2 linked regions of the Arabidopsis thaliana genome follow. The protein of the gene in region 1 interacts with the protein of each later gene in a pairwise test. Each region holds a gene or a part of one and is shown in the gene's direction. Other genes may lie near its edges.

Evidence for each region.
Region 2: the proteins of AT5G35580 (region 1) and RBOHD come close enough for resonance energy transfer, tested with the Arabidopsis thaliana proteins (one study listed by BioGRID).

Annotation. Positions count from the first base shown.
Region 1 is NC_003076.8:13,755,935-13,767,704, forward strand, and holds AT5G35580 (Protein kinase superfamily protein), read left to right. Parts: upstream 1-5,888; 5' UTR 5,889-6,009; coding exon 6,010-6,420; intron 6,421-6,515; coding exon 6,516-6,651; intron 6,652-6,734; coding exon 6,735-6,871; intron 6,872-7,080; coding exon 7,081-7,917; 3' UTR 7,918-8,172; downstream 8,173-11,770. Other genes in the region: PAA1 (proteasome alpha subunit A1), read right to left, coding at 9,483-9,575, 9,665-9,724, 9,902-9,997, 10,741-10,823, 10,968-11,026, 11,166-11,262, 11,350-11,431, 11,589-11,683 and 1 more. UniProt on the Arabidopsis thaliana protein: Involved in defense responses. Acts as a negative regulator of plant immune responses.
Region 2 is NC_003076.8:19,391,841-19,406,323, forward strand, and holds RBOHD (respiratory burst oxidase homologue D), read left to right. Parts: upstream 1-5,200; 5' UTR 5,201-5,744; coding exon 5,745-6,372; intron 6,373-6,464; coding exon 6,465-6,627; intron 6,628-6,820; coding exon 6,821-6,869; intron 6,870-7,214; coding exon 7,215-7,328; intron 7,329-7,769; coding exon 7,770-8,579; intron 8,580-8,677; coding exon 8,678-8,773; intron 8,774-8,920; coding exon 8,921-9,716; intron 9,717-9,818; coding exon 9,819-9,928; 3' UTR 9,929-10,221; downstream 10,222-14,483. Other genes in the region: AT5G47900 (heparan-alpha-glucosaminide N-acetyltransferase-like protein (DUF1624)), read left to right, coding at 568-741, 819-956, 1,043-1,124, 1,208-1,284, 1,390-1,496, 1,572-1,689, 1,766-1,891, 1,972-2,063 and 5 more; AT5G47920 (transcription elongation factor), read right to left, coding at 11,618-12,181. UniProt on the Arabidopsis thaliana protein: Calcium-dependent NADPH oxidase that generates superoxide.

The DNA of each region.
Region 1 (11,770 bases):
GACACAACTTAAGAGTTCACTTGAGATTATAACAAAAACTTTCAATCTCTTCAGACTTAAACAAAAGCCTACATTCTTACGTCTCATTACTTTTCTTCATTCCACTTAAATTCTGCCAAAATCCCAAAAAAAACATGATTAACTAGAGCAACCGACAAGCACAATTATCTTGAAAAAAACCTATATTACCTTAGTCAAAATGAGAATTCTGTGATGGTTGGCTTGGTCGTTGGCTTGTTCCTTCATTGGTACCAATACTCATAGACTGACTAACTCCATCAGGTGTCTTCTTTGGCCACCTTTTGTTAACGACTCCCACACTAGGACAACTTCTTGTATTATGACCTTCGGTACTACAACGTCCACAACGAATGCTCCGTCCTTCTTTTGAAACTTTGGTCCTCTTTTCTGGAGGCTCTTGTACTCCTTTTCCTTTCTTCTTCTTCTTTGGAGACTCATTCTTGCCCTTCTTTCTTTTTTCTTTCTTTTTGGTACCTGTTGGTCGTGGTGGTGGTTGAATCCTAGGTTCACCTGATCTTATCCAAAATCCAATACCATTAACTCCTGAGATTGACTCAGAATATATCTTCAAATTTTTCGATGCCAAGTACCAATCAGAGTTGACGAGTTCCTCAGGATTAACCTTTTTGTTCAATATGATTCGCAAGACATGGCGGCAAGGAATCCCTGTCATATTCCACCTTCGACATGCACATGTTTTTGCATTCATATCAACCCTAAAGCCATGATTATTTTCAAGAACCTCAAACTGTCCATTTCCACAAGGAACCACTTGACAATACTTACGATAGATTGTTTCCTCTTTGATGGTGTTGGCTACTTTCAAAGTGAACTTTCCTTGATGTTTAATCGCCTTTCTCAACCTCATATCAATACGAATCATAGTTTGTCGTCTTATTGTCTCCAACATCTCCACTAGTGGCATCTCCCTTGCTTTATTAATCGCATTGTTGTAAGATTCAGAGAAGTTATTAGAAACATCTTCACAACTTGATTTGCAGCCAAAAAAAGCACGACTACAATTGCGTGGATTCCTCATCATTACTGCATCGTACACACCTTGATCAAACTGCTTCAATTCGTCAATGGCTCTATTATACTCATAATCGTTAAAGCTTTTTGCAACAGCGCAGAACAAATTCTTTGACAAATCTTTTCCAGGATAAACTCTTCTAAGATTTCCATATATATGGCGTGCACACATCCGGTGTTCCACCTTAGGCAACTCTTGATCAACAGTATTGAGTAAACCCTGACATGTTAAATGGCACTTGTTATAACAATGTTAAAAATAGTCTCAAAATGAGAAGAACATTAGATATAGTAAACGAACCTTTTGCCTATCTGAAATAAGAGTAAAACCATCTCCATCTTGCAGTTTTAAATCACTTTTCAGCTTCCTAATAAACCACAACCAAGAATCTATGTTTTCAGTTTCCACGACTGCCCACGCAACCGGATAGAATTGGTTGTTGGCATCTCTTCCTACAGCTGCTAAGAGTTGTCCTTTCATATTATTTTTTAAAAAACATCCATCTATGCCAATTATTGGGCGACAATACGCAAGCCAAGTTTTCCGGAGAGCATCAAAGCACACATAGAATTTATCAAACTTGACTATACCATCAATAGTGATTGTCTCAACTTCCACTGTTGAACCAAGATTTGTTCTACAACAACAAATTTCAAAGTTAGATAAGCTTGTAAACAAAAACAAGAATCAAATTCAAAATCGATTTAAAGATATTTTACTTACTCCAAAAGTTGTTCCTTGTAATCATGTATTCTAGCAAACTGCTCATCATATTCATCTTGAATCATTTTCAATGCTTTTCCTCTAGCTTTCCGACACTGGTCACTGGAGGCAATTAATGAGTACCGCTCTTCAATAGCTTTTTGCATTGCTTTCACTTTGAATGTTGGATCTTGCCTAATGTCATTCAAGAACATATCTACGATGATCCGACTCTTGAGAACTTTGCAAAACCCGTCCTTTGTACATGCATGCTCATCAATGAATGTTTTCACCATGTACACTCCAATTTTTTCATCATAAGCACAATAAATTCTGAATTTGCAGTTACCTCCAATAGAACACCTTACTTCAGATTTCTCTGATCCCCATCTTGTGAACTTAATATTGACTCCTTTCTTAAGAGCATAGTCAATCACAGCTTCCTTAAACTCAGCTATACTGTCAAAGACTTGCTCTATTCTAATATCGCCACTACCTTTCTTGCATCTAACATATCGTCTTTCACCTTCCTCACAATCTGAGTTCAGAGGGGTACTTTCATCATTATCATGCTCTTCTTCATCAACAAAGCCTGCTAAGTTCTGCTCAACTCTTGCTTCCATGTCAATAAAAACTCTATCACACTCAGAACCATCCCCAACAGCTCCATCACCAGCAGCTCCATCACCAATAGAACCATCACCAACAGCTCTATCCACATGAGAACCATCACCAACAACTCTATCAACATGAGAACCATCTCCAGCATCACCATTTTCTTCTTTCTCCAAAAAAATATCGACAACTTTTGTCCAAACTGCGGCAAGACACATTCTTTGAAAGTTTTGATCTCCATTGCACAATTGCTTAAGCTCTGAATATTCCTCATATGGAAGCTTATACCAAATTCGTTGCTGCCAAATAGATTCGTTCAATGACTCCATCAAATTAGTCAATACTACTTGTGGTTTGCTTTCAAGGCTGAGAATACCTCCTCCAACATAACTAACTTTAATCCCATTCTCTACAACAAAGTTCCCACCGTAGTAGCATTGAAAAACTGCATCTTCAGTGCTGAATAAGAAAGAAATAAAGTGAGTTTTTGGTTGTGACATTTTATCGAACACTTGGTGTTCATAAAATTACATATCGCTTATCAACTAAAAAAACTCCACAATCTCATCTAAACTATAGAAATACCAAAGGAATTCATTACATTTTATAACAATACACTCGCAATTTGATGATTTGATAAAAAAAAACCTAAATTTTATAAACCATAAATTTGAATGAAAATTACCTCATTTTCCTTCCTCACAATAGAGATTATGAGCTGGAACTCCTATTCCACTAATATAAGCTCTTCACGATAGATGCTTATGGAACATTGTCGTCGTGAAAGAAAAAGAAAGAAAAAAGAAGAAGGTGATTTAAGACGACAAAAACGACGTCGTTTTACAAAAATTTGTTTGTCTCTTCTTTCATCTAAAACGACGTCGTGTCATACGTGGCATCCACGTGAGCAACCGTTAACGGTTTCGTAACACCGTCACGGCTTAGGCATGTATTGACATGAATGGTGTGAGTTTGGGATTTGAATTTGAAAATTTGGTTTGTTAATGTATGGATTTGCACAACAACAAACGTTGGGTATGAATTGAACATACTACTTTAGCTGGGGTATGAAATGACCGTTTTTCCTAGCATAATTAGTCCTAAAGATGAAGATAAGATAAAATTGTTAGTATTAATGAATAGTCATAACTGATAAATAATTGTATGCGATAACAATTTGCTAACAATTAATTGTAGTTGAACACAAGTAAACTGACATAAGTATAAATTCGTTTTTTTGTTTTAACATTTTACTTGCAAAAAAAATTATTTATGGTAACAATTTGAACTATGATACGTCCTTAGCTGCCAGTCGGTTGAGCAATTTTTTTTTTTTTTTTAATATCAGGAGGTTCTGAGGCGAAACCTGTAATTTCCCTAAACCCAAAACTAAAGTATGTAATATTAATTTCATCTCAGGCGTCGCAGTCGGTTAAACAATTGATACGTCAGTATTTGATTTTGAGGTGGCAGCTTTCATGCATCTAAGAGCAACCTCATCAATGGTTTCTAAACTTAAGTTTCTTATTTTAAAGAGATAAATTTTATTATAAAAAAATGTGTGAGTTTCTTGATTAACAAGAAACCATCTCCAAAATACCTTATATAAAAAAATTTTAAGAGAATTTCTAAAATATTTAAGAAACACACATAATTAAATAATATTATTTTTGTTGTTTCAATGTTAAGAAACTTATATTTAGAAACCACCAATGAAATTCCTATAAAGATGCAATCCCTAAAATCTTGATAGATGTAATGTTACTCGATAGTTCCCGTCATGTCAAAAATATTGGTGGTTCGTAACTAAAACCACCTGACATATATCTTATCGTTTGACTTATCATAGGCATGAAAACATTAGAAAAAACTCTTGGAAATTATAAGTTCTCTTATCCATTATTGTCTATGCCACACATATTAAATACTCTTAAGAGTTTTTGATGTGCGGATCATTTGATTGATTGACCAAGAAACTTAACACAACAAGTTTAAAGAGTTCCCGACCTCTATCCGGTACGTCGCATGAGGGTCTCTCCCCACAAAATTCACTATCAAGCATGGCCCATGCTTGCATGAGGGCTTGAACATGCGACATAGAAACTAGACTGATCGCGTGACTAGCCCCCTTATGGTATGTAAACCATCACTAAAGTAGTGTGGTAGGTAAATTTCGATATATTTTTCCTTAGTTCATGCATCTAAAACATTTGAAACAATTATTTTTACATCGTGAAATCAAAACGTAGTTATTGTAGAAATCGGTACACATTAATTTTAAGTAAGAGAAAAAGTCGACCAAATTAGCAAATTCTATTAATTATTATCGTTCAAAACCGCTTCAAATTCAAAAAGTTCCATATGATGTTACGTCATTGTGTGGGACAATGCAAATGTCAACAACTCAGAGTGAACAAGTCGCCTTCTTCGCCAACGCGCTCACATAATTTGTGTAATATTTTATCTTAGTGTTTCTAGAAGCTTGACTCGCTCGCATATTGCAATTCTACCAAATCATATTTTTATTTTAATGAAATTTCTATGATTTTGACAACTAATTCTTGATTTTGACCTTACTATATTTCTTGTAGAATTAGATAGGGTGCAATTCTCATAGAATGTTTCTTTAAATTTATTTCTAACTAATATTAAAAAAAACTATAATATATTCGGATTTAGTCTTAAGAAGATTTACCGTTACTTCTAATGATATATTTGAATATTTGATGGCAAATCGAATTCAAATAACCAACAAGTTGTTGGTCCAATAATAAATTTTTTAGATAAAGGTATTGAGTTTTAGACACGTTGGGAGAGATTTCTTCGTCAAATAAAATGAATTTATTCTAGTGTGGGTCTCGCATGTAGGAAATGTAGGTCTTTTAATTTTGAATTTCCAAATATTCAAAAAAAAAAAAAAAAAAATCGAATTCAAATAACTGAAAATTAGTGTAAATTATATAATAGACTATCTATTAGTTTCTTTGAAAAACATATAGTATAGTAATAGACATTTTGATAAATCTTCATCTTTTACATTTCTAAGTATCCAAATGCTTTTCCAAACCATATGTTTTCGGGCTTTTTTTTTTTTATCAATTCGGTAAGAAACACATTGACGGCATTAATTAACATAAAACTAATAAACTACATGTTTTCTATGTTTTTTTGCTAATTTTTCCTAAAGCTAATCCATTAGAAAATTTTACTATTCTAACTATCATTGTATGAAAAAGGTATTATCTAATTGTATTCACAATTCTATAGGAAAAAAGGTTAACATGTCATTTTCTTCTCCTTTTTAGCCGTCCACTCACGACTAAGAACTTATTCGTCTAAACATGAATTACATGACAATGTCAAAGCGTGGTTAAAACTTCAGAAAGAAGTATAAACCTACCTCAAGAAGTCGTCGTCCTCTTTCTCTAATTAAACTATTATTTCCCATAATAGAAAACACTAATTTTTTGCCTTTTTGGTAAGGAAAGTAACATAGTTGTTAGTAAATATGAATTAGGAAATAATATACAAAGTCTTGGTCCTCTTCTCATCGACTTTAAAATCTCTTTCTCCCATTACAAACCAAAACCATTAGAAGATTTCGAAAAAGAAAAAAAAACACCTCCACAAACAAAACAATGGCGGTGAAGAAGAAATCATCTTGGAGATCATTGATGGTTTTGTGTTTCCAAGATCCAGACAACATATATTCTCCCAAGAAGACAAAGAAAGATGATGGTGAACGTGTGATTACCAAACAGAAATCGTTTCTTGGATTGTCGATTCTAGACATAAGTAATCCAAGTTCCACTACCTTGTCCGAAGATCTCTCAATCTCCCTCGCCGGCTCGGATCTCCACGTGTTCACACAAGCAGAGCTTAGAGTCATAACACAAAGCTTCTCTTCTAGCAACTTTCTTGGTGAAGGAGGGTTTGGTCCGGTTCATAAAGGGTTCATCGATGACAAGCTCCGTCCTGGTCTTAAGGCTCAGCCCGTTGCCGTTAAACTTCTTGATCTTGATGGTCTTCAAGGTCACCGTGAGTTTATGGTTCGTACATTCATTTCATTAGTCCTCTGTTTAAGATACAAAAATATTGAGTCTAAATGTCTAACTAATATTATTTTTGGGGTGATTTTTTTCAGACGGAGGTTATGTGTTTGGGAAAACTAAAGCATCCGAATCTGGTGAAGCTGATCGGATATTGCTGCGAGGAAGCACATAGACTTCTTGTTTATGAGTTCATGCCTCGTGGAAGTTTGGAGTCTCAACTCTTCAGAAGTGAGTTGACTTTTTTTTATTGTAACCATCAAATAGAAATGATCATTTCATTTTAAGAACCAGAACTGATGAAATTGTTTCAGGGTGCTCCCTACCGCTGCCATGGACAACGAGGTTGAACATCGCTTATGAAGCTGCAAAGGGTCTACAGTTTCTACATGAAGCCGAGAAGCCCATCATCTATCGCGATTTCAAGGCCTCTAATATCTTGTTAGATTCTGTAAGCAAGCATTCTTCTTTTTTGATCTTAAGGGTTACACCAAACTAGACCATTTTAGTTTTAGAGCGGACAATAACCTAAAATGGACATATTTGTTTCTTTCTATTCAAATTATGGTGGAACCGCAAATTACATCCATGGTCACCATTCAAAATTATAATTGCTTTTGGATTTGAATAGACTTTTGATGTTTTGATTTCTTTTTTCAGGATTATACAGCGAAACTCTCGGACTTCGGGCTAGCAAAAGACGGACCACAAGGCGATGATACACATGTGTCGACTCGCGTGATGGGCACACAAGGGTACGCGGCGCCAGAGTACATAATGACAGGTCATTTAACGGCTAAGAGTGATGTGTACAGCTTTGGAGTGGTGTTGCTTGAGCTGTTGACAGGTCGGAAATCGGTGGACATAGCGAGATCATCAAGAAAAGAAACCCTCGTTGAGTGGGCTCGTCCAATGCTCAACGACGCACGTAAACTCGGGAGAATAATGGACCCGAGGCTTGAAGATCAGTACTCAGAGACCGGAGCACGAAAGGCAGCAACTCTAGCTTATCAATGCCTAAGGTACCGACCAAAGACAAGGCCAGACATTAGCACTGTTGTCTCCGTTCTCCAAGACATCAAAGATTACAAAGATGATATTCCCATTGGGATATTCACTTACACCGTTCCTACCAAGCCACGCCGGGAAGTTAAAGAGACAAGTCTTCAAAACTTTGACAAGCCACGCCGTGAAACTAAAGTGACAAGTCTTCAAAACTTCGACAAAACACGCCGTGAAGTTAAAGATACAAGTCTTCAAAACTTCGACAAAACACGCCGTGAAGTTAAAGAGACAAGTCTTCAAAACTTCGACAAAACACGCCGTGAAGTTAAAGAGACAAGTCTTCAAAACTTCGACAAGCCTCGCAACGTTTCCACGACTGATAACCATCAAAAGTTCCGGTCGCCCGCACACACGGCAAGAAACCACCGGATAACTTTGAGAAACGGATATAATTCACCAATGCGTAACGAGGCCGGAGGGGAACGGTACTGACTACTGAGTTCTCTTCTATCCTCAATTCGTAATCTTTTCATTTTTTTTACATAAGATGTAAATAGTAATACATTCTTACCACCAAAAAAACAAAAAAAATCTAGTTTAGGTTTTGCTTTCTATACCTAGAATAGGTTTTGGTTAGAGGTAAAGTTGATTTTTTTTTCCTTGTTTGATTCTTCAATCAAAGAAAGCAAAAGTGTTAAACATATTGTTGTTTTTCTAATCAAGTTGTAATAACTTTTGGTCCTAAAGAAAAGAAAAAAATACATTTGGTGTTATAGAAAGACGCGTTATAGATCACTCGTCTATATGTTTTTTAAGTCATCCACGTCTCTAACAGCTGGAGTTTGATAAAGTACTATCTAAACTTACAATCATTATGTCTGTAATGCTTGACACGAACCTATATGATGTACACATACTTCACTTTTTAATTGATAGTTTTCAGGATCACTTTACTTTCCTTTTGTAAATAATTGACATTAAAGTTTAAGAGGCCACAGGGCAAAATGATCATCTCATATAGCCTATAGGCCTTCAACTAGGCTCAAGTAAGTTTATCTAGGAGTGATTTTGGGTGTTGCAAGCATTAATAATGAAAATTTCGGATTTTGGAGCGGATTTGGTTCGGGTTATTTTAGATTCGGATAATTAGGATGAGGGAGTTTATTATCCGTTCGGATTATATGATTATTCGAATTCGGTTTCGGTTCGGATGGTGTTAGATTCGGAACGGTTTCGGATCAGTTTTTGATTTAAAAAAAAAACAAATTAAAAAATTGTACAATTTTAATAAAAATCGTTTAATTTTACTAAAATTTGGTTTAATTTTGCAAAACATTGTATAATTTTAACAAATAAAAGTAAAAAAATCGGACAGTAAAGTTATTTCGGATATTTTTGCTATTTAGTATTTTTTGGATATAAATTATAACTAATATTTTTAGATATATAATTTTATTTAGGATTAGCGGATATCCGTTCAATTTTTGGTTCGGATCGGATTTGTTTCGGATAATTCAGATAGGAATATCCATTATGTATTCGGATTTTGTGACTATTCGGTTCGGTTTGGTTTCGGAGCCGGATTTTTGATCAATTTTTGGATTTTATGCCCAGCCCTAAGCATTATGCCGATGTAAAAAAAATTTGACTGATCCTAAAATTTTTGACTGATCCTAAAAAATTGGAATCCATAACCTAAACCTTTTTTGTTGAAAGGTAAGAATGATCCCTCACTTTCTAACAACTGAAACCTTAAAACGAATTCGAGTTTAAGAACTGGTGAAGACGAAGACACAGCAACTGCAACGATAGAAATAAAAAGCTAGAAAGTGATGATATGAGTAAAGTTGGTGTCATTTCTGAAGAGTCAAAAGACTCGGAAACTCTCACAGCCTTAAGCATTACAGTGCATTTTTGTTTTTCAAGTTTGCTGGGTTGACTAAGTAAATTAAATTATGGAAGGAAGACCAAACAAAAGATCGATGGAGAGTGGTCACTTTAGAGGAATGTCTGATAGAAGCGAAGCAACGTAACTCACACTTGTTTCACTAAGTTGATCAGTCTCGTTCACTAATGGCTGTCAAATGCTCCTCAATCTCCTCCGTTGTCAATGCACGGAATTCCGGGTTCTCTGCTCTCACCACACCTACCTATCATTTCACCAAACGGTTTGATAAGATATATAACCCACAAATGATACAATAAACTTGCCATCATATACGAGAAGAGTTTTGTATACCTCAATCTCAGTAGCCTTGAAGTCTTCTTGAAGAACAGATTGCAAAGCCGATATGGCAGTCTACAAACGTATAAAAATATCAACGTGAGGAACAATGTGCATTTGGTACTTCATCAAGAATATTAATAGATTTGTATCTACAAAGTAACAGCACAAGTAATCAGCAGCTAAATGAACATATGTTACCGTATTCGAACATAAGCAGGGAAAATATGAAAGATAATGCAAATAATTTACCTGCACGGTTTCATCAAATGTGAAAGATGGGTTTTCTTTCATTTTCTTCTCCAAGAAATTGACTGCTTCTTGTTCCTTCATACCAGCACTAGTTGCCTGCACGAATACAGTTGCTTGTCTATTAGCTGCTTTTCAATTAACATGAAATATCTACGACTTTTGAGAGAGAGAATAATTTTTTTGTATATCCTATCCTCTAGAGATCTTGGTCATATAGTCCAGAAGACTCATGTGTAACCTGTATGTAGTCATGTCATTGAATAGATACACAAAACGTGTTTTGTTTCAACCTAGGATCAATCAGTTACTAAAAGTAGAAATGAGCACGATGCTTAAAAACCTTTATACATAAGATTCCTAAAAAGTGTTAAGATCAGCGAAATGAGAAAGACAGGATTGAAAAAGTTTCCTTTATTCTTCTCTGTAAATCTACAAATGAAAACAAGTAAACTAATGAACCCAGGAGCAACCGGATACAAAGAACTAAAGTGAGAGTTATGCTATCTTATAGAGTACCCAAACCTATCCCAAAGTCTGAAAGGCTTACCACAAACAACCCAAATGACCAAAACTCTCCGCAATTATGACTAACTCACTCCTATAGTCATATTATACTTTTTTCGTTTATGCTTATCACAATGACTTATAGACTGAGGCATTTTCTTCTATGTTAGTGACAAGCAGTAAATAGTGTGTAGTGTATGTCAATATGCTTGTAAGACGATATTATTCAGATATGTTATCAATAAATCTTGATGCAGGCCAGCAAAAGCAATCAAAACAGTAAGTATTAGAAGACAAGTTTAGTTAAAGTATAAGCTACGAGTGATAGATAATACCTTGTGACCGTAAAAATGTCCAGCTGGGTCACATTTGTAAAGTAAGGGACCATTCTCTTCATCAACACCCATTACCATAGCGACTTCATAAAGAGAGACAACAAGAAAATTCCTTTTGTCAGCCAATAATATTCATCAAAACGTGAAGGTGATATAATACGCATCAAACACAAGTAGGCACTAATGTCTAGATTGGTCTTAAGAAAAGAAAAAGATAGCAAACTTGCCAACTCCAAGGGGTCTCATGTAAGCATGTTGAGTGTAGACCTGTGACTTGTCCGCTATCCTGTAAGTAAAATAGTTATTTATCAGCAACACCATTTATCACAGAAGAGCTAGATAGATCAATAACTATAAGCCAGCCTCCACTAAGAAGTTAAAGAACCATCTGAAAAAAGAGACACCAAGTCGATTAGCAACGATACCATTTAGCAAGAATGTCAACAGGCATCTCATATCCATAAGTGAACCGAAATTCAGCTGCTTGATTCCTTGCTTGTTGAACCAAAGACCTTGCATCAGCTGAAAACGAAATTCACATGTTCAAATTACCATCCATAGCAATAAATTCTACAGCTTAAGAGGAGATAAAAGGGTCATGAAACGAACCTGTAATGCCAGTAGCTACCAATCCAATGTACTTGGTGATAGGGAACAGATGTGTAACACTAGACTGATCCAAAAGCTTGTCCTGTCCCAACCCAAAAACAAAAACCCTAATGGGTAAGATACACCAACAATCCTCAATCTACTAGAAACCTAAATCCATACAATGGTTCAATAAAAGACGCAACTTTTTTGCAAACCCTAAAAAAAACGAGAGACAATGAAAAGAGAGATTCACTCACAGGAACTTTCTTCTGGGTAACGACGCAAACCGAATCTTTCCCACGAACTCCGATTGAAGTAATACCAGCTGTTTTCACGGCCTTGAAGGCATATTCTACAAAAGCAAAAGTGTGTATTCAGTTTTCAGAGCTCGAAAAGGAATTGAGAGTGGGAATCGGAGAGTACTGACCAACTTGAAAGA
Region 2 (14,483 bases), 5.6 Mb from region 1:
CAAATTTCTGATTTTAGGTATATACAATCTAATTATTCCTCTTCCATGATTCTTTTACAATCTTACCTTCTCTTCCGATTTTAGTTCGAAATGGAATCATTAGTTTCTCTGGCGAATCCAATAAAAAAAGGATATCATCGGTATGTTCTCTTCTTCTTGGCAAAAACACATTCTCCAATATGTATCGGAGATTTTACTTTTGTTTCTTTTCAATTTTAACGAAATATGCATTAGTCTTCGTAGAAGTAGCATACCAGTAAAAAGATTTTTATTTTTAACCTTATCACTTCAGCGTGGGCTTTCTCTTATTTGCAGGCCCATAAAGCGAGAGAGTAAAAAAGAGATAAAGTCGCTGCGAGCGAATCAAGTTCGGATAAGGTCCAATCACAACACAGCCACGTGCGAATCCCAGGTTATTGAACAGTAAAACAAACGGCTCAAGTGGCTCACTCCAACCGTTCTCGTTAAGGCAAATCAAGTTCTGTTTCTTTTTCTGACTTTTGATAATTTTGGATATATTTTCCTAATTATATATAGACGACGCCTGCGCTAGATGAATTTGTTGTGATGCGAACGAAACTAACGATGTACGAAGCAATCAAAGACAATGATGATAATGATCATCAATGGCGAGAGAAGAAAGACATTGAGTCTGCTCTTCAGATTTCTCGTTCTTCCTCTCTTCCTCCCGACAAGGAACGATTAGTTTCCCTTGATGTCTTTCGCGGTCTTACCGTCGCAGTAAGTTTTTGTTCTAATCACTTTCTAATACGTGATCAACAATGTAATTAGAGTATAATTGTTGTGTTTAACCACAGTTTATGATACTTGTGGATGATGTTGGAGGGATTTTACCATCTATTAATCATTCACCTTGGGATGGTGTCACACTAGCGGATTTTGTCATGCCTTTTTTCTTATTTATTGTTGGTGTCTCTCTTGCCTTTGCTTACAAGGTAACTTCTTTTTTTGTTTATTCTATGTTGGAGTCTCATTCTTCAATCCACACTAGCTTGTTGACTCACTACATGTTTGTTTATAGAACTTGTCATGTAGGTTTGTCGCAACAAGAAAAGCTTTGATTCGATCTTTGAAACTTCTATTACTTGGTCTTTTTCTCCAAGGTTTGGTTCTAATTTTATATTCTTAACTCCAAAGGTGTTGATGATGTGATATATGACATTCATTATTGTTTTTAACTTTTCAGGAGGATTTATTCATGGTCTTAATAACTTAACTTATGGAATAGATGTAGAAAAAATTAGACTCATGGGTATATTACAGGTATACATATCTAGTGTTTTCTCTAGAACTAGCATTAAAAATTATGTGTTCCAACATTCTTATTGTAATAGTATTAGTATTTTCTTTTGTTTGTTATGTTTTCAGAGAATAGCGATAGCATACTTAGTTGTTGCATTGTGCGAGATTTGGTTAAAGGGAAACCATAATGTTAGCTCAGAGTTATCTATGATCAAGAAATATAGATTTCATTGGTAAGTGTCTTAATCTTGAGTTTGTACACATATGATGTTCATGCACTTGTTTGATTTTGTCCTGGTATTTGACAGGGTGGTTGCTTTTGTTATCACAACTATATATTTGTCCTTGTTATATGGTTTATATGTACCTGACTGGGAGTATCAGATTTTAAAAGAAGACCAAGGATCAACATTGACAACATTCTTGGTTAGATAATGGTTTCTTCCTTCTACAACAACTTAGTTACATATTCTGTCGCGGTCATAATATCGAAACTGTTTAGAATCTGAAGGTGAAATGTGGGGTACGAGGTCACACTGGACCAGGCTGTAATGCAGTTGGAATGCTTGACCGTATGTTTCTAGGAATCCAGCATTTGTACAGAAAACCTGTATATGCACGAACCAAGGTTCTAGATTTTAACCCAAGTCCTGTTTTTCTCAATCTTTGTTTTATGTCCATTTCATTTGATCTCTTATATATTCTCAGCAATGCAGTATAAATTATCCAAACAATGGGCCATTACCTCCAGACGCTCCTTCTTGGTGTCAAGCGCCTTTTGACCCCGAAGGCCTCTTAAGGTCTCTGCTTCTACTCTCCAAGAAAAATATTAAATAGTAAGTTGTGTTTTATCATTGTTCAGAAAATAACTTGCAAGTTTGTTTAATTGTAGTTCGTTGATGGCCACCGTAACATGTCTAGTGGGTCTGCACTATGGCCATATTATCATCCACTTCAAGGTAAACATATCTTTTTATGAAGAAGTTCGGCTGCTCTGCTCAACTCTTAGCTATATGTCTCCTCTATGTAGCATATTAGAGCTGTTGTGTTTTGGTTAGAGAAATGGTAGTAAGGGACAGGTTTATAACGAGCCTTCAATTAGCATAAGACGTACGTTAAGCGTCTCTTGTTAGTCTAGTCCCTATGGTTTTGGTGAATTGGAATAAGAATATCAGTTGTATAGCATTTTTTTTTATCTTATCAGAAACTTACTTGTTGCTATATGTAATTAACTTTTTACAGGATCACAAAAAGCGTTTGAATCAATGGATTTTACGTTCTTTTTGTCTTCTGATGTTAGGTCTCGCACTGAACCTCTTTGGTATCTTCCTTGACTCTTATAGCTCTCATTTACATCATTTGTTGTCCTAATTCATTGCAAGATCAAAATACCTTAGTAAATCACATGTCATTCGTTTTTTTGGTTGCTTGCAGGAATGCATCTAAATAAACCTCTATACACATTGAGTTACATGTGTGTCACCTCAGGGGCCTCGGGATTTTTGTTATCCGCGATATACCTAATGGTTTGGTTTGCTATTATCTTGAGACTCCTAATGAAAGCATCACTCATGGTTAAAATGTAAATCTATCTCTCACTATCTTCACAGGTCGACGTTTATGGATACAAACGAGCAAGCCTTGTGTTAGAGTGGATGGGAATACATGCCTTACCGATTTACGTTCTCATTGCTTGCAATCTTGTCTTTCTAATCATTCATGGATTCTACTGGAAGAACCCCATTAACAATCTCGTAAGTTTTACTTTCGTTTTTTTTTTTACCGTTATTAACGTTTTGTGTTGGAGTTCAAAAATGTTATTGTTGTTTGCAGCTTCATTTAATCGGAATCGGAAAGTAAAGAAGAGAAGAGAAGGGAGGTGAAGAAATAAGTTTCATCAACCAAAACCTTAATTGTTTTTGTTAGAAATAAACAAATGCCATCTTCATCTTCACATCCCATATGGAATCCAATTTATGCTATACTTTTGTAAACATACGGTATATCGTAGAAAAATTAAAACTTCATGGCTATATAAGCAAAGCCTTTTGTCGAAAATACACATGTTGGCAAGTTGTGGGAGCCACCAACATAAGCATATTATATTCAAACAAATGTTCAATCGCACATGTGATGGTTTAGCGATTTAGCTACCGCACAACTGAATCAAAAGACTTGTTAAATTGCTCTCTTAGTCTTATCATACCTTCATCTCATATCCATTATAATCATCTTTAGCAATACTATTTTATTTTTAACTACGAAAAATAAACCTTGTTACGCCGTTATTAACAGTGATCATTTTTTTCGTTAAAGAAATTTAACATTCAAAAAAGATAAAGAATGATCACCAATAAGCGTCATGATCTTCCGTATGGTGATGATAAACATCGTTTGCAGTTTTGTTGTATAGTACAACGTATATGTAGCCGTAACGTGTGAATAGTGTATGGTTAGGGTCATTTTATTTGTGAACTACCACAATTTTGATAGCAGTGGAGATAAGTCAAAGGTTCGTCTTCTAATTAATTAACAGCGATTATTAGACTATCTAACTTTTCTTCTTTTCTTATTTTGATAATAACTATATATCTTCTTTAGCCACCTTACTTTCTCATCGGGTTCTATTTAAATAGGGACAAAGAAAACAAACCATCGATTTGTACTATGTGCTCAATTATATCATATGTTTTGTCTCCATCTATGTATCTATTTCTCTTTTCCATTTGGTAAATTATTTAAGACCCTTAAACTGACTTTTCTCGTGGGCGGCGTCGAAGTTTTGGTTAACAGACAAAACATCTGTTCATGATGCCTGCATAACTCTATGTTTTTATACTACTCATTTGCCCTCTATTTCATGCTACTCTTAAAAATAGCTAAATAAAAATACTTCAATATTAGAAAAAAAATCTTCTTGATGTCAAAAATACACTTTAGATATCCCCTCTAGTTCTTGTGATGCTAATATATTACAAAATTGTTTATATATATAGAAATATTACCTCTAGCAATACAAAAATCTTGTTATATCAATTAAATATAACACTATCCGACTAGTGTTTACTAAAATAACACATAATTTTTAATTATGATCTTTGAATTTTAGTTTATGTATTACGCTTTATAATTTTGTTATCAAAAACTATAAAAGCTCAAAAGTGAGCATCTATACCCTAATTCCGTTTTTATGCATACACTTAGGTTTATTTTTATTACGAGAATCTGTGTTTAGTATATATAAAATAGAGTTTATGAATGACTAAGTTAAATACTTCAATACTAATTAAAGTAAGTCGTATTGATGCAGACAATATAAACTTTAGATATCTCCGCTAGTTTGTATAATGCTAATAGATTCAAATTGTCTTTATGTAGAGGAATTACCTCAAATAACATAAAATTTTCATTTTATTAATTAAATCTCATTTTGTCATTTCAAAAGTCATTTTAATTACTGTGTTATTTGTCTAAAGTATACTCCAAACAAGAAACCAAAGTAGAAGGTCAGTGCCCAAGAGACAAATAAACTTAAGCATGTCCACTCTTTTTAGCGATCGGATCGCTTATCTGTTCTTATCCATTATGGAACATGAACGATGTTCCTTTAAGACTACCACATTCAAACGAAAAATAAGTCATCGATGATAGACTGGATAGTTATAGTTTGATGATCTAGCTAATTGACTTTCATATTTACATAAAACAGAAATGTGTTTTTATCAAAAAAGAAAAAAGAAAAAACAGAAAATGAACAATACATCTCACATGGAGTTTGTACAAGAATCCATAATAATTTTTTGTTCGGTACAGTAGGTTAGATATACATTTGAATACAGTTTACAAGCCAAATGTTAGAAGCAACATATTTATATAGTATCATCAATATACGATCCAAAATGAATTATAGATTGACTTATGGAAAAGTTAGATACTATATGCATGATTGCCAAATACATTGAAAAATAACAATTTAAGTTCTTCAAACAAAAGTTTATAAATGACTCGGTGTTTGACATAACTCGGGGTTGTTTTTCTTTGTTAATTCACACACGGGGTTGGTGTATAAATGACTTCGGTGTTTGAAATGTATGACACGGTATAAATAAAAAAGGTAAGGAAGAAATGAAGAATAGAAGAAGAACAAAAAAAAAAGGAAATTAAAAAAAAGTCAAAATAAATGGTCAGTAAAGGATTTTGACCAGACCGGAGCGGTCCATCCATAGTTTCCCACTACCTTCCCTGATTTAGCACAGAAGAATGGCAATTTGCATGCCATTTATTTCATCTATTCCTCCTTCACTCTATAAATATATTTTAAACAAAATCAATTTCTTCCATACACAAAAATCAAACACCTTTTGAGAGCGGTTATTTTTTCTCTATCAACTAATACAGTAACCTTACGGGTGTTTATTTGTATAGATCTCTGTGGTTTTCTTGGCCAAATCTAGTGAGATCTTTTTGGTTTCTCGAATTCGATGAAAATGAGACGAGGCAATTCAAGTAACGACCATGAACTTGGGATTCTACGAGGAGCTAACTCGGACACCAACTCGGACACGGAGAGCATCGCTAGCGACCGTGGTGCCTTTAGCGGTCCGCTTGGCCGGCCTAAACGTGCGTCCAAGAAAAACGCAAGATTCGCCGACGATCTTCCCAAGAGAAGCAATAGTGTTGCTGGCGGCCGTGGTGATGACGATGAGTACGTGGAGATCACGCTAGACATCAGGGACGACTCGGTGGCCGTCCATAGTGTCCAACAAGCAGCTGGAGGTGGAGGCCACCTGGAGGACCCGGAGCTAGCCCTTCTTACGAAGAAGACTCTCGAGAGCAGCCTCAACAACACCACCTCCTTATCTTTCTTCCGAAGCACCTCCTCACGCATCAAGAACGCCTCCCGCGAGCTCCGCCGCGTGTTCTCTAGACGTCCCTCCCCGGCCGTGCGGCGGTTTGACCGCACGAGCTCCGCGGCCATCCACGCACTCAAAGGTCTCAAGTTCATTGCCACCAAGACGGCCGCATGGCCGGCCGTCGACCAACGTTTCGATAAACTCTCCGCTGATTCCAACGGCCTCTTACTCTCTGCCAAGTTTTGGGAATGCTTAGGTAAGTAAATCACTTCTTACTAAGCAATTCTATTAGTACTATATGTTTCCATTTTTGTGTTAGTCTCATTTTTGTTTTGTTTTTTACTCTAGGAATGAATAAGGAATCTAAAGACTTCGCTGACCAGCTCTTTAGAGCATTAGCTCGCCGGAATAACGTCTCCGGCGATGCAATCACAAAGGAACAGCTTAGGATATTCTGGGAACAGATCTCAGACGAAAGCTTTGATGCCAAACTCCAAGTCTTTTTTGACATGTAAGCTTTTTTTTACATATCTTCACCTAACCCACAATAAATATATAACGCGTAATCACTATTTGTCGTTTAATATTGACTCTTAATGAAAATTAAACGGTCATCAGAATTTAAGGACCAAAAGTAGTAATATTAATCATTTGTGGAGTTTTGGTGGATTTGTAACTAATATATGACATCACTGTTTGGTCAGGGTGGACAAAGATGAAGATGGGCGAGTAACAGAAGAAGAGGTGGCTGAGGTGAGAAAACACACACACCACTCAATAATTATCTTTTTCAAATATTTTATTATATTTATACATTTTTTTTATCTTATATTTATTCATATTCCTGGTTGAATTTTTTTTCTCTTATTTTATACGTTATTCTTGGTTGATTATTTTGACAATTTTGTCCACGCGCAAATCCCCACTGACTTTATCTGCTGACGTTTACTATTAACATCATCAATATATTAACTTCATGTGAACACGACAAAATGGTAATAGATAGATAGAGTAGTAGTCTTTGTTACTTTAGCTTAGGTTATTAATGTTTCAAATACTTTAGCTTTTGTTTTCTAATTTGTTGGTAATTTATTGCAGATTATTAGTCTTAGTGCTTCTGCAAACAAGCTCTCAAATATTCAAAAGCAAGCCAAAGAATATGCGGCACTGATAATGGAAGAGTTGGACCCAGACAATGCTGGGTTTATTATGGTACGTGTGGTCCACTTTCACCCACTCAATCACACTAATGGTATTATGTACGTCGTAAATTTAACCACTCTTAAAATACTAGAAAAAACGTGGAAAAACATAACGTTCTAGAAGTCTTTAGTGGTCAAAATTGGGTCACCATGATGTTTTTTAATTTCCAACTTATTGGGCCATCTTGAACTTTTTACCAAACCAATCAACAAAATCTCGACAATGGGTGGTTAGTGGTTACGATATGAAGAAATGACCAATAAAATTGTAAAATATATGAACTAACACTATAATCCAAGCTTAGAAAGTCTTAGGCGGCTTCCGATAGTATATTGTTTTTTAATTATTGGAGAAACCTATGAAAAGTGTTTTTAAGAAAAACAGTTTGGAACATTAATGTTTTATTGTAACGTTTTAGTTAATTATATGATATGGACATTGGTGAAACAGATCGAAAACTTGGAAATGTTGCTATTACAAGCACCAAACCAGTCGGTGCGGATGGGAGACAGCAGGATACTTAGTCAGATGTTAAGTCAGAAGCTTAGACCGGCAAAAGAGAGCAACCCTTTAGTGAGATGGTCGGAGAAAATCAAATATTTCATACTTGACAATTGGCAGAGACTATGGATAATGATGTTATGGCTTGGCATCTGTGGTGGCCTCTTTACTTATAAATTCATTCAGTACAAGAACAAAGCTGCCTATGGTGTCATGGGTTATTGCGTTTGTGTCGCCAAAGGAGGCGCCGAGACTCTCAAATTCAACATGGCTCTCATATTGTTGCCTGTTTGTCGAAACACCATCACTTGGCTTAGGAACAAGACTAAGCTTGGTACTGTCGTTCCTTTTGATGATAGTCTTAACTTCCACAAGGTTATTGCAAGCGGGATAGTCGTCGGTGTTTTACTCCATGCGGGTGCCCATTTAACGTGTGATTTTCCACGTTTAATTGCCGCGGATGAGGACACCTATGAGCCGATGGAAAAATACTTTGGGGATCAACCGACTAGCTACTGGTGGTTTGTGAAAGGAGTGGAAGGATGGACTGGCATTGTGATGGTTGTGCTAATGGCTATAGCCTTTACACTCGCGACGCCTTGGTTCCGACGTAACAAGCTTAACTTACCTAACTTCCTCAAGAAGCTTACCGGTTTCAACGCCTTTTGGTACACCCACCATTTGTTCATCATTGTTTATGCTCTTCTCATTGTCCATGGTATCAAGCTCTACCTCACAAAGATTTGGTATCAGAAAACGGTACTCTCTTCAAACCTCATTTTATCTGTTTTAATTTCTTATTTTCTTTCCTTTTTCCGGTTAATAACATTTATTACCTGTTTGTATGATTCTTGTAGACATGGATGTATCTTGCTGTACCCATCCTTCTATATGCATCGGAGAGGCTGCTCCGTGCTTTCAGATCAAGCATCAAACCGGTTAAGATGATCAAGGTCAGATATATTTCTATTTATCTCTTGAAAACCTTATGTTTCAAGAAATATTTCAACTAATACTTTTAAACCATCTTATTTTATAGTTCTTTTTGATAAAAGTTTGAAAATTGCCTTTGAACTTAATCTATATATATGTAACAACAGGTGGCTGTTTACCCCGGGAACGTGTTGTCTCTACACATGACGAAGCCACAAGGATTCAAATACAAAAGTGGACAGTTCATGTTGGTGAACTGCCGAGCCGTATCTCCATTCGAATGGCATCCTTTCTCAATCACATCAGCTCCCGGAGACGATTACCTGAGCGTACATATCCGCACTCTCGGTGACTGGACACGTAAGCTCAGGACCGTTTTCTCCGAGGTTTGCAAACCTCCTACCGCCGGTAAAAGCGGTCTTCTCCGAGCAGACGGAGGAGATGGAAACCTCCCGTTCCCGAAGGTCCTTATCGACGGTCCATACGGTGCTCCCGCACAAGACTACAAGAAATACGACGTGGTACTCCTCGTAGGTCTCGGCATTGGAGCCACGCCTATGATCAGTATCCTTAAGGACATCATCAACAACATGAAAGGTCCTGACCGCGACAGCGACATTGAGAACAATAACAGTAACAACAATAGTAAAGGGTTTAAGACAAGGAAAGCTTATTTCTACTGGGTGACTAGGGAACAAGGATCATTCGAGTGGTTCAAGGGAATAATGGACGAGATTTCGGAGTTAGACGAGGAAGGAATCATCGAGCTTCACAATTATTGCACGAGTGTGTACGAGGAAGGTGATGCAAGAGTGGCTCTCATTGCCATGCTTCAGTCGTTGCAACACGCTAAGAACGGTGTGGATGTTGTGTCGGGTACACGTGTCAAGTCCCACTTCGCTAAACCTAACTGGAGACAAGTCTACAAGAAGATCGCTGTTCAACATCCCGGCAAAAGAATAGGTAACTAATCTCGACCGTTAATCTCGTTATGTACGTGATGTTGTATAATAATTAATAAAGTGATGAATTTAGACTAAATACTAATATGAATTTTGATTGCAGGAGTCTTCTACTGTGGAATGCCAGGAATGATAAAGGAATTAAAAAATCTAGCTTTGGATTTTTCTCGAAAGACAACTACCAAGTTTGACTTCCACAAAGAGAACTTCTAGATTAATTATATACGTTGTAGAAAAATAAAACAAGAAACAACTATACAAATAAATATTTATTTTAAATTCTTTTCATTTTTATGTAAAATTATCTGAGTTATCTTTTTTTGTTCTTCTATATCCCTACCGTTTTGTTGGTTACTTTTTCACTACTTAGTTTAATGCCAAATTAAGTATAAGATAGTAGAAGTTTATATAGTTACAGCTTTGGTGTTGTAAACATGTAATCATGGAGTTATCTGTACTATTATTTTGTACTTATATTCGAATATTAACAACTAAAGATAGTTTTGATATTCAATACCCATTACTCATTTAACATAATGAATAGAGATATCAACATTAGATACGTCTTGATTATTTGCTCACCAATGCATTTGCGTGTTTAACTTGTTTATATGTTATTAATAGTGTTCTTTTAGTTAAAATGACAAATAATTTCTTAACTCAAAAGCATCTTATATCACAACTCTAGCTAGATTAGTTTAGCTTTTCATAAGTCTTCTTGCGTTTACGTCTTTATTTATGGGTTGATACCCTATTCACTACTTTAATTTGCCTTGCACTTGGGATAGTTTAAAAGACTTTAAAATTATGCAGCTAGAATATAATCAAAACTTGATATAAGTATCAAAATAATTAAATACAATTGCTATCGATAATAATCAGAAACAATCGTTATGAATGGTTAAGTTTGTTTCCTTAAAATGGTTACGAATGATTAATTTTGTTCCTTAGGTAAACTAAAAGTTCAAAAACAAATCCAACCTACTACAATCTAAGAAAACTGACAAAGTTTATGGTTGATTACAGAATAGGTCGCTTGAGCGTCAAATTAAGATAAAGAAGGAGACTTATGTAGAGCCGGCCCTTGGGCCAACCAGGCGAAGCATAGGTTTGCAGCTGCTAATAATATAATTTGAGTTTGGCTTTTTTCTAGAAAACTTTCTTTAAGTCTAGTGGTTCAATTATGGTGGGTACATCATCAGTTCATGGGTTTGACTTTTGAGACAAGTGAGACCGAATTTTTTTGTTTTTTCAACAAAATTCTAAAATAGATAAAACTTATGCGGCCCATTTCATTGTTCACTTGTAGGCTTGTAAAACTCAAGGCCGGGTCTGGAGTGTGATGTCAAGACTCAATATTATAACACTCTACTTCATATTTCACTATTTTGTGCATTATCTAGCTTCCAATTTTCTTTGCATTTCACAGTGTATCAATAGTTACTTTAGTGATGTCAAGATTACACTTTTAACACATTTTAAGTGTAGTTTTACAACATAAACTTGTGTCTCTAATTGGCAAAGTGAATTGCTAACGAGATCATGAATTCTGACTGTTGAGTCTGAGCGAATGAAACAAATGGACCAACATATGATTAAGGCCTGGAGTGACATATAAGCCAAAAAATAATGCTCTATATTGTAACACTTAAAAGATCTTACACAGTACGGTCTCAAGGAGGAAGAAAACATATTCCGCAAAGCAGATCCTTCCTTCAACTTCAACATATTAAATGAAAACAGATCTAAGAGACCGTAATATTTCGATCCTAGAAAATAAGAGAACTCGAAGGATTTATCATAGACAACACAAAATAAGAACGTACGTTAGCAAAGATCATAATATGAATCTATTATTCATATCTATTGCCAACATGTTTATATATATATATGGATATGGGTTTAGGTGCCTCGGGCTAGCATTTCTTGATACCTCTTGAAGGACAAGAGTTTCTGAAGCTTCATCTGCTTATGAAACCTAGAAATAAAGAGATCCGCGACATGGTCGATCTCATCTTCTAGCTTGAAATTCTCTCCTTCTTCTTCCTTCGAGGTCCTCACCATATCTATCACAGAACTACCTTGACCTTCCTCCTCCAAGTCCCCGAAGTCCTCCTCTCCTTCGAACAACGTGTGCCTCAGATCAGGATACTTGTCGCTTTCCTCCTCGTGAACGTCATATTCCTCATGATGAGCCATTGTGGATGCCTTGCTGTTGTAGAGGACTATAGCCTTGTTCTTGTCTTGGTCCTGGTCGTTATCGTCGTCTTGATCCGCATGGCCCAAGAGGTGGTGAATCTTGTTGGAAATGGAACGGAACCCGAGTTTCTTGTGTTTCACTAGAGACAACATGAGTACTCGTGTCTTGAAAGCACTCGTTTTGTTCTTTATGGCTATAGATTTTGCCTTCGCCATGGAACTCAACAATGCAACGATATGTTTCATCAATGCCGTAGCTTTCTTCATATTTTTTCTTTGTAAGAGCTTCTATAATAGTGTTTTACTTATGTTTTGGATGTTGCTTAATTAGCATGGAAAGGAACATTGGAGGTGAGAGCCCTTCGGGGATTATATAGACCATGGAAAGGTACGGCCACAAGTCATGGCTTTATGAGTCTTGTCGTATGTTTTTAAATTAACGGCTATATGTTTTACTTAATGGCGCAGCAATCTTCTCACAGTTCGCCACGTGGAAATAAGCCATTTGATGTAGTGGATCACTTGCTTTTTCTAGTTCAAACTTTATGCACGTTCTCTTTTATCAAATTTCATCGTGCCTACAATTTACGAACGTAAGCATTTGATATTTCTATATTACTTCTTTCTATGATAAAGGATCTCAAGAAATTAAGTTTATGTTGATTTCGTATAAAAATGTGGCCTAACGAGGTTGCTTTGCCGATGAGTCGGGTATGTTTTTTCTTATAAAGTATCATGCGACATAATTCATGCCTACTATGAATTTAAAATGGTTATTATTTTTCGACTAGAAGTCATGTTTGGTACGTCAAAAATATGGACAAAGTTTTTGTAAAGCCAACATGGCGTTTTTAACATTCTAAATGTTTAAAGGGACTCTTGAGTGGTTCGGGTGTTGAGGCCTCTAGACTCCGGATCATACGTTCCAACAATTGGAGCCTCTAGTCAACAAGTGGACTCTAGATCGCATTGTTGCGGTATGGTTATGAGAGAGCACTTCTGAAGAGCTTCAACATAAAGAATTTCGAGAGTAAAACATCTCAAACGGTTTTATTTACGCGTTTTGCATCCCGATCGATTAATCTCTGAAATCCAAAAATTCACCCCCAACGAGTATAGTTGAAATGGATCGATTAGTCTCAAGTGGAATAACTCTTCTGTAACTTCTTTGTTTGATTTTTGTTTTTGTGAAGAATGTACTATTTAATAAGAAAGATTAATTAGAGCAGTTGGGACTGAGATTACAGAATTTGTAAATGACATAGATACATCCACAAGGAATTCAAACTATTGTCCACTTCTTCTTTGAAAAGATTTGATTGATTAGCAACTTTGTTTTTAAATGTGATTAACTTTACATACGAAAGCAATTGTACAGCTAAGTTATCTAAATAAAAGTGTCATTTGTTACCCAAAAAGAAGTTCCATCAACTTTGTGTAAAAATATGTTTTTATAGAAAAAAACTCAGAATTAGGAAGATGCTTCAGTAAAGTTACAAAAACAGCTTAAGAGATCCAAACGTAAATTCATTGTACTTCTCTCACAACTACTTTTACTTTAATTTTTTTAATAGCTATTCTTATTTACTTTTTCTAAAAATCACAAAGATGAGATGGAGAAAAAGCATTTGATGTTTTTGTATAATTGGAAAGTGTTTACTCACTTGGTCTCTCTCACATTTCAAGGCGCCGCGAAATTGCTTGCTCATGATATTTAGCTTTACAAGATTCTCTTTCACTTAGAACCACACTTCAATCCCTATACTTTTCTAGATTTCTAGATTTTAGATATTATACATTGTCGATGTTGAAAGGAAAACATAAGATATTATACATTGGTCTTGTCATTTATCAATTATTAGTTTTAAGATTGATGTCAAAAGGAATAGTTTCATTGCTCAGTATCCAAATTTGCACAAAACGAATCGAGTTGTTTCGATTTTAGACAATAGAGTACAACCGATATTAACAAAGAGTTTCTTGCAAAAAATGGGGTTCAATTGTTGTAGTATGTCAATATGACCATAGATTTCAAAAAACTTCTCCAGCTCAGAGTTTTAGATCTCAGCCCGTAAAACATATTTCCAGTCTTAATGCATGTTAGAGCCTCGAGCCATCGGATAAGACATTCCCATATTAGATTGCAGAAGAGATAAAATTGGAGCATTGTTTAGAACAATTCTTATTCCAATTCATCAAACCAGAGACTAAACTCTCAACCAAAAGCTAACATCTTACAAACACGTCACTCACCGATGTGTAGCGTTCAGTCCTAACCTAGTTAGCTAAAGTTTAACAACTTCATCAACTTAACTTCATAAAGCAGGCCGAATATCTCATGTTAAGTCAAGTCTGAGTATCTTCTAGTCATAGATAGCAATATTACAATTCTTTTGCACAAGTCATTAAAATTTAACCAAGGTTGTTTGTTCAAATTAAAGAATTGTAAACATGAACAAGAAGCCAGACAACTGATGCAATCCGAGAAAGATTTAAACTTAAAATGAAAGCATATTCTGTTTCAACAAGACCAAGTTCTGAACAATTACTCAGCTAGTAGTTTTATCAT